Linked DNA regions of Rattus norvegicus. The protein of the gene in region 1 purifies or fractionates together with the protein of each later gene. This does not show direct contact. Links are inferred from orthologs where the notes say so. Each region holds a gene or a part of one and is shown on either strand. Other genes may lie near its edges.

Region 1 (4,267 bases):
TCCAGGCAGGAAGACCACAGAATTGTTAAGGTCAAGAGTTGTCCAGGCTACATAACAGACCCTGTCTTTAAAAAAGAAAAAAAGCACAGTGATGGACTCCAAGGAGGCTGAGGCAGGAGGATACCATGAGGGTCATGCCAGCCACAACTACAAGATAAACTATCTCAAAAAATAGACAAAACAAACACACACACACACACACACACACACACACACACACACACACACACACACACAAACCAAAAACAAAACAAAACAAAACAAAACCCAAAAACCAAAAAACAAACCAAAAAAACGAAGAACCTCGGCCATTAAGCCAAACAAACCAGAAGGAAGCAATCTTAGCAAAGGTCACAGACATCTCGACTTGGCAAAGTCAAGGTATCAGAGGACTGACTGCTTCATACACCCTTAAGCCCTTGGTCACTGGTAATTTACTTGTGATAATTAATACTGACAGATCTAGTCACTCAAGACAAACTCTGGGTTTGTCTGTGAGGGAGTTTCTAGATTCAGTCACCCAAGGTGGGAAGGACATTAATGAGCACCATTCCACAGTCTAGGGTCCTAGGACAACTAAGTAGGGGAAAGTGAATTGAGCACCCGTACTCCTCCGCAAGGGGACCAACTGCCTGAAGCTCTGGATGTCACAATTTCCCAACCACAATGGACTTTACCAACAAACTGTTAGCCAAAACAAACTCTTTCTTTCTTAGGTTGCTTTGTCAGGAATTCTGTCACAGCGGAGTGAAAAGGAGCCAGCACTCTATTCACATGCAAACAACTCAGAGTTTATAGCACTCTCACGCTAGTGAGGGCACTGTACAGGGAAGAAGCTGTCTCTGAGGGTAGATAAAAGCAGAGGTTTGGAAGGCAAGCTGGAGTTCTCTGGGTTCAAAGGCAGTGTGACACATCTGGGACAGGGAAAAGCATCAATAAGGACCATTGAGGTCTTGCCTCCATATCACCTAGAGTGTGAATGACCATCCTGCCATGGAAACACACTTCTCTTCAGCATTTTAATCACTGGAAAAAGACTTCCTCAAACTGTAAAACATACTTCTCTTTAGCATTTTAATCAATGGAAAACGACTTCTTCAAACTGTAATATAGAAAGTCAACATTCTGTTTTAGATAATGGTATAAAATTCGATAGTATAATCTGACTTCTAGAAGACAGACCAGTGATAAAAAACTGAGTTCATGAGCTGGACCTTGAGGAATAACAACAGTGTTAGGTGTGTCTGGGTGGTAAATGGACAAAATAAGGCTATCCTGTCAGACTCTCTCGGCAGCTAGCTCGATAGTCTATTCTCAAATCACATTATTATTACTGCTGTTGTTATTGTTGTTTGTGTGTTGAGACAATTCCTTGATATGTAGTTCAAGGTGGGCTCAGGTTCCTGACTACTGAGATCATAGCCACATTAGTTCTTAACTAGTTGTAGTCAAATATAGAATCTCAACACATCAAAAACACACTAAACAGAGGATAAATTCGAAATTCCCACCCTTAGCATTCTTCTTAACACAGTGCTTCATAGCCCAAGCCTATCTAGCACTTGCCATCCTCCTGCTTACTCTGCCTGTCCCTGGCTCCGCCTCTGGCAATTCTAATTTGGTATAGGATGAGTTTACAAATACCTAGCAGCTCTTAAATGACTCTGGAGTCCAACCAGGTTGTGGAATTCCCTTTTTACATCTCAACAAGACTTGTAATCAGAGATTCCCCCACTGGGTTATTTTTTGAGACTGTATTTGACAGGATTTACTACTTAGTAAACAATGGGAAAAAAAAAGATAGTGAAAATATTATATCATAGTTGCTATAGACCACTTACTTGAAAGTGCTTAAAAATTAATTCAGGATTGAAGTATAACTGAAAAGGTGTGATCAATTCCAACTGCTGAAATGGAAAAAAGAACTTCTTGAAGCAGATCAATCGCAAAACAAAATTCCAACATGAACAACAAAGAATGAGTAGCTCTAATAATTTCTGTCCCTTGGAATAAATTTCTGTCTTGCTTGTGACAGCTGGTAAGAGATTCTTTAGAATTTGCACAACCGTTTTGTATCAACACACGATGTAAGTTTTATGTTGCAATATTTGAGGATGCTACAAGGCAGGCGAGTGGGAATATTTTAGAGACAAGACAACAGCATCTTTTACAAATCTGTGCGTCACGTGGTCACCACCTCAAACAGCTGGGTGAGACAACTCGGGAATAAGAGATTTAAGACCCTGCTACCATTAGGACTAGGTACATGCGGCCAGTTATTTATATCCACAGGCCGTCTTTTGAAAGATGTTTCCAGACAATTCGAGATTTCTATATTCAATATAATAGTCTGTGAACCTAGCGGACCTAACTCCCACTAGTCACCTGGACATAGCTAGACCTCTCAGATACATTTTTGGGTGGGCGGCTCCCGCAGTTCTGATTCACTACAGGTCTGGACTTCATCTGTCTGAAACTGACCTGGCCCCTCAAGAAGGAGCACACCCTTCTCAGGTCACTGGCTTGGCACCCTTGGGAATATCCCAAACCCTAGAGTCAGCTCCGGATGTCTCCACCCACCCCTGGGACCAGACCCACTGGGCTTCTCTGCGGCCCAAACCCGTTTTCTGAAGACGCAGTCATAGCTAGCCTGGAAAAAAGAGGATGTGGCGCCACAGCTGCTCACCACGGCCGCAGTGGTGAGGACGCAGGCGGTAGTGTAGGCGCGGCTGACCGGCGGGATCTGCAGGTACTCCAGCCGGAGACTCTGGTACGCCATCTTTCCCACCGCGCCTGCCCCCCCTTCCCCTTCCGCCAGTATGCCAGGCGGCGGGGCGGACTCAAAACTGGCCTCCAGCCTACCTACTACTGTCCAATCAGCGCTGTGTACTCGGACACCCACCAATCGCTGGCGCCTTGGGGCCGCTCACCCACCAATCAAGAGTTGCGCCTCTGCGTCGGCCCATCCTTACTTCTCCGCCTACCAACGCAGAGAGAAAGTACCAGCTCCTTCCGCCAATCCCTGCCGGCCACAGCTAGCTTTCCCTCCTTGTCTCCTTCCTTTTGCCAATCGCAGTGCCCCTTTCGACCCACGGCTAGCCAATCAGGAGTGCGATCCATCCCGCCTTTGCGTTCGTTCGCAGAGGCAGGTCGCAGTTGATTCTGAGGAGCCGGTGTCGCCGCCTTATTCCAAGCAGCTCAGTGTAGTTTGAAGGAAGTGGCGGGAAGCCGGTGTGTGGCGGACTACATCACCCCCGGGATCGCTTCGGTAGGGGCTGTATGCTAGCTGAGGAGGGACGGAAAGGGCGGGACCGGAGGAGTGGCCTCGGGGCAGCGGAGTGTTCTTTAGGGAATTCCTCCGGTCCGGCCTGGCTGGGCACGGAGACCTAGAGTTCCCGGCATGCCCCGCGGCTGTGAGGTGGAACGGGAGCTGGAACTGCCGGAAGCGCTCCGGGTTCTGCGGTTTCTGGGCCTTGTCTGTGGCGGTGGTAGGCTCTGAAGTCCCCTACGTTCGTCGAGACGGTGTGGGAACTTTCCATGTTTATTTACAGCCGCAGGAATTCAAATCTAGCAGAGAAGAGGCGGTAGATGAATTAATAGCACTTGGGGGGGGGGAGCGAAGGAGGGTGTGGCTGCTTCTTCAGGGATGTGTATTCGAGCTGGCTCTTGAATCTGCCTCTAATGCATTGTGTTGGAGCAAAGGCTATCTTGATCGTGGCAGACATATTCAGTAAGTTATAAAGAAGCATTAAAATCGAGGGACTGTGACTGTCAAGACTGGTAAGAACCAAGTAAAAAGTGGGAGAGAATAACATTTAGAAGTAAGACTATAAGGCTGAACGTAGTGGCACCGGCCTGTGTCTCATAGCCACTCTGAAGGCTGAAGCCAGAGGATTTGTTGCATCCTGAAGTTCTAGGCCAGTGTGGACAACGTAGAGGAGAGTGGGAGCAAACACGGGAGAGGTCTTAGCAAATTCTTGTTAAAACTTCATCTTTATAACTATTGCCTCATCATAGCATTGGTAGTGTCTAACAGAGAAAAGCAGAATTTTTCTCAGAACTGGAAGTTTGGATGTAGGAGTTTGGTTATATATCATGGTGCATCAATCCAGGAATGTTGAGAACTTTGAGGGAGAGTTAGAGTGCACACTTAAGAGAATTACTGGGGGGCTGGGGATTTAGCTCAGTGGTAGAGCGCTTACCTAGGAAGCGCAAGGCCCTGGGTTCGGTCCCCAGCTCCGAAAAAAAGAACCAAAAAAAAAAAAGA
Region 2 (4,195 bases), on another chromosome or scaffold:
GAAGGAACATCCTGGCCTTCCTGTCCACCATAGGGGGTAGCTTGTGCTTCTACTCAGTGGTTGGGTTACATAGTCTGTGAACCCAGTGAGATCTTTGCCATTCATTTCCTTAAAACATGAGTGACCCGAGTCTGTGTGTTTCTTCTAAAATCTCACAGGCCTGCACTCAATTCTCAGTACCCATCAGATGCCCACTGTGGGCAGAAGGTAAAATCTCCCTGAATTCAGGGTCTGCCATCACTAAGGATGGCCTTGGCGGTGGCGTTGGGGTGCAGGCATGACATCAGCTCCGAGGTAAGCTTGTCACACTCTGCCACCTCACCAGTGCATAAGACTGTGTTCTTTTTAGGTTTTCTTTTAAGTCTAAGGAGTCCATACAACACTCGTGATCCACAGTAAGTAGTGGTATTTTGACTTTATTCTATCCATCAAAATCTCCTAATATTTTCCCGAATGTTTTTTTTTCCTAGTTACAAGAATCTCCCTGTAGTTCCTAGGAGAGCCCTTCCCTGCCTAAGGGCCTTTATGATGTCACCCCTCTGCCTGGCATGTTTTCCCTTCCATGGTGAACCTTGGCTCACTCCCTCAGGAATCATTTCCCTAACCATCCTGCCTGGACTTGTTTTCTCACACACTTCCAGACATTCTACCTCAGCTTTTCCTCAATTTCCCCCTTGGCAGACCTTAACACGTGTGTTATTTGCTTACTCTCCCTGAGGACTTCTCTACTGCTCACTGTTACAACACAGCTCCTTCCTCAACTCCGGTCGCCTATAATTTCCATAGTCACACAAGTAGCCCTTTCTAGCCCCTGCCCCTCCCCCTCTGATGTTCCCAGAACTTCCCTACAGACGGGCACTTCTGTGGTCATGCTTCCATTTTTACCCAAGGACCCGTCATCAGACTCAACGAACAGGCACCTTTCTCCTTTTACCACAAGAGCACAACCAAGCCCAAATTAAGCTTGGTTAATTCCTAATGTTGATGTGCTAAAAACCCAGCAAAATTAAAACCTTAATTAGGCAAATAAGAGGTGTTTTATTTTAGCTAAATGGTATATTTAGGATCAGGGATATTCTGTAGCTCTAGCACAAGGTTTCAGGTTTCAGCAAAATGTCAATATCTTTCTGCCTTTATCCTGGTTAATTACGTTCTATTCAGTCACAGCCCCATGCTTCTAGGGGCTTCATCATAAAACGTCTCATGCAAACTGGCAGTGGGATAGGACACCTGAGAGACACCTGTCCTGCCAGACATCATGGATGAGGTATTTGCTCCTTTCATAACACAGCACAAGACCGCCCAAGTGGAGCATTGTGAGGTAAAAAAGGCCAGAGATTTATTCAGGGCCCCCAGCTCTTCAGTCCAGACGAGGCAGAGAGTGTCTCTTCTGAATGGCTCCAGACAAAATATAGACGCACCACCAGCCTGGCTAGGAAGTAATGCTTCCCATGAGCCCCCAAAGAACGGGAAACCAGACACTGGTAAGTGTAACATGTCTCCTACACCCCTCAGCCATTCTTTCTTCTAGAAGTTCTACCCAGACTGACATCTAGCTTCCAGAGTACCATCAGAGAGATGCTGGTGCCCTGGTATGAATGTCGATAGTTTCTTTGAAGAGGTCAGTTTATCATCTCTGCAGTGGACAAACCAGACAGTCATTTAAAGTGACCTTTTCCTGTGAACATTGCTCAACTTGGCCTACATGTGTTCCTTGGCCTACGAGGATGACAAGTCCAAGGCTGGTTGGCTCCAAGAACCAGGCATTTCTTTGTTGGTGGTTGCCAGTTGCTAGGCTTGTTGACATCTGAATCAGACATTAGGAGTTTATCGTCTTATCACTGTTCTTTCCCTTCATTACGCATGTCCCTTTTGCCCCTACTGAGGTGCTGGCCATTTTCCCCAGCCTCAGAGGCAGAGTAGGCATGATTTACAGATTATTTAAGTTCCAAATGCTTATTTCATGAGCATGGAGTGTGTGTGTGTGGGGGGGTGTGTGTATGTGTGTTTGTGTGTATTTGTATGTGTGTGCATGTATTGTGTGCATCTGTGTGCATGTATGTGTGTGTGTGTCTGAGCCTGTGTCTGTCTGTGTGTATGTGTGTACCTGTGTCTATGTACCTCTGTGTGTGTGTATGTCTGTATCTCTGTGTGTCTGTGTATGTGTGTGTATGTGAGTGAGAGAGAGGGAGAAGGAGAGAGAGAGAGGGAGAGAGAGAGAGAGAGAGAGGGAGAGAGAGAGAGAGAGAGACTGTCTATGTGTCTGTGTGTCTGCACTTGTGCCTGTGCCTGTGCCTGTGCCTGTGTCTGCATATCTGTGTATGTCTGTGTCTGTGTGTCTATGTCTGTGCTTGTGCCTGTGTCTGTGTCTGTGTGCCTGTGCCTGTGTCTGTCTGTGCCTGTGTCTGTGTCTGTCTCTCTGTGTGCCTGTGCCTGTGTCTGTCTGTCTGTGCCTGGGTCTGTGTCTATCTCTGTATCTGTGTCTGTGTCTGTGTCTGTGTCTGTGTCTGTGCCTGTGCCCATGTCTGTGTCTGTGTGTGTCTGTGTGTGTGCATGTGCATCTGTGTGTGTGTGTATGTGTGTGTGTTTGTGTGTGTATGTCTGTGCATGTGTGTGTATGGGGAATGAGAGAGAGATAGAGATAGAGTTTGTGTCTGTGTGTCTGTGCCTGTGCCTGTGTCTGTGTATGTCTGTGTGTTTCTGTGTCTGTCTGTCTGCTCCTATGCCTGTTTCTCTGTGTGTGTGTGTGTGTGTGTGTGTGTCTGTGTGTCTGTGCCTATGTCTGTGTGTGTGTCTCTGTATGTGCAGTGCATCTGTGTGTGTGTATGTGTGTGTGTGTGTGTGTGTTATTGCTCATCTCAGAGATTACAAATTCAGAGATCACTTACTGAAGAGACTGAAATGACTGCTACTGCTCTCCTCAGCAGGCAAACATCTCCTTCTTGGGGAGTCTGGAAGCCAGATATCCATACCACCAATGCTGTGATGTCAGCCATGTCTCCCGGCAACCTGTTGCAGGGTGGTGCTCACCCATGGCACAAGAGGAAACAGATGGCAAACATTCCTGGAAACTGAATTGCCAAGGTAGTGTTCTTGGCAGCCATGGGGAAAAGTGTCAGGCAAGTCCTAGGTGAGAGTTCCACTTCCTGCACTGACAGCTGACAAACGCTGAAGAGGACAGGCTGCCCTTAAACTGAGAGCCTTACTGATGCCAAGGTTAGCAAAAGAGGGAAAAGTCACAGCAATGTGTGGAGACTGTCAATCTATAGGGATTAAGACTTTGTTATCCCAGGGCTCTTAGGGACCCCACCCCCAAGTACAGCAAGATGGGCAAACTGTGTCTTTGCTGTTTCGTGCATTCATGGCAATGCTGGGATTATACTCTACTCCCCTGGCGCCTTTTTTCATTCCTGTAACCGAAAGCTGAAAAAGGCAGCCGAAGGCCAAAAGGGTTCATTTTGGCTTACAACATGACAGTAAAGGTCCAGAACCTCAGCACACAGACTGGTGCAGCCAGCAGTCAGGATGGGTCTTTCCCCCTATATTAAGCCAGTTTAGAAACGCCTCACAAACATGCTCAGAGCTTCAACTACTAGATGATTCTAGAACTCATCAAACTGACAGTCAATGACAACCATCATAATCTGGGCTCATGGTTTAGAGAAGCACATCAGGATTCTGTTTCAGAACTATCTTAAGAGTGTGGGGGGGGTTGCAATCCTCAAAGACACGAGTCAAAATATCATTAATGTCCTGCCCCAGGAGTCCTGCCCTAGGTGTCCTGTCCAAGATATCCTGCCCCAGGTGTCTTCCCCCAGGTGTCCTGTCCAAGGTGTCCTGTCCCAGATGTCCTGCCCCAGGTGTCCTGTCCCAGGTGTCCTGTCCCAGGTGTCCTGCCCCAGGTGTCCTGCTCCAAGTGGTCAATGACCCAAATGCTTAACAGGGAAGCAAAGCTTCTAAGCATTGCCTTTAACATTGCATCTAAAACATGACTTTAGACATAAAATACTGCATTCTCCAAGGTCTCTCCACAAGAAGAGGACTAACACACTGATTTTCAAAAGCCAAGCCAAGCTGACTCCCAGGCCATGCTGAACATCTCTGGGACGTTCCTGGTAGAAGCTGCCAGAAGATGAGCGTATTATCCTAAGTTCTCACACCAGGAAGCAACTACACGAGCTCTAAGTCCAGTGCC

What was found. Proteins that work in one complex are often made in the same cells at the same time.
Region 2: the proteins of Derl2 (region 1) and Serpina1 purify together in Homo sapiens (affinity purification with western blotting; 3 studies listed by BioGRID). This does not show direct contact. The link is inferred for Rattus norvegicus from reciprocal best matches to the Homo sapiens genes DERL2 and SERPINA1.

Annotation. Positions count from the first base shown.
Region 1 is NC_086028.1:56,235,194-56,239,460, forward strand, and holds the start of Derl2 (derlin-2), read right to left. Parts: upstream 2,801-4,267; 5' UTR 2,780-2,800; coding exon 2,687-2,779; intron 1,908-2,686; coding exon 1,842-1,907; intron 1-1,841.
Region 2 is NC_086024.1:128,650,326-128,654,520, reverse strand, and holds the start of Serpina1 (alpha-1-antiproteinase precursor), read left to right. Parts: upstream 1-1,395; 5' UTR 1,396-1,484; intron 1,485-2,924; 5' UTR 2,925-3,084; intron 3,085-4,195.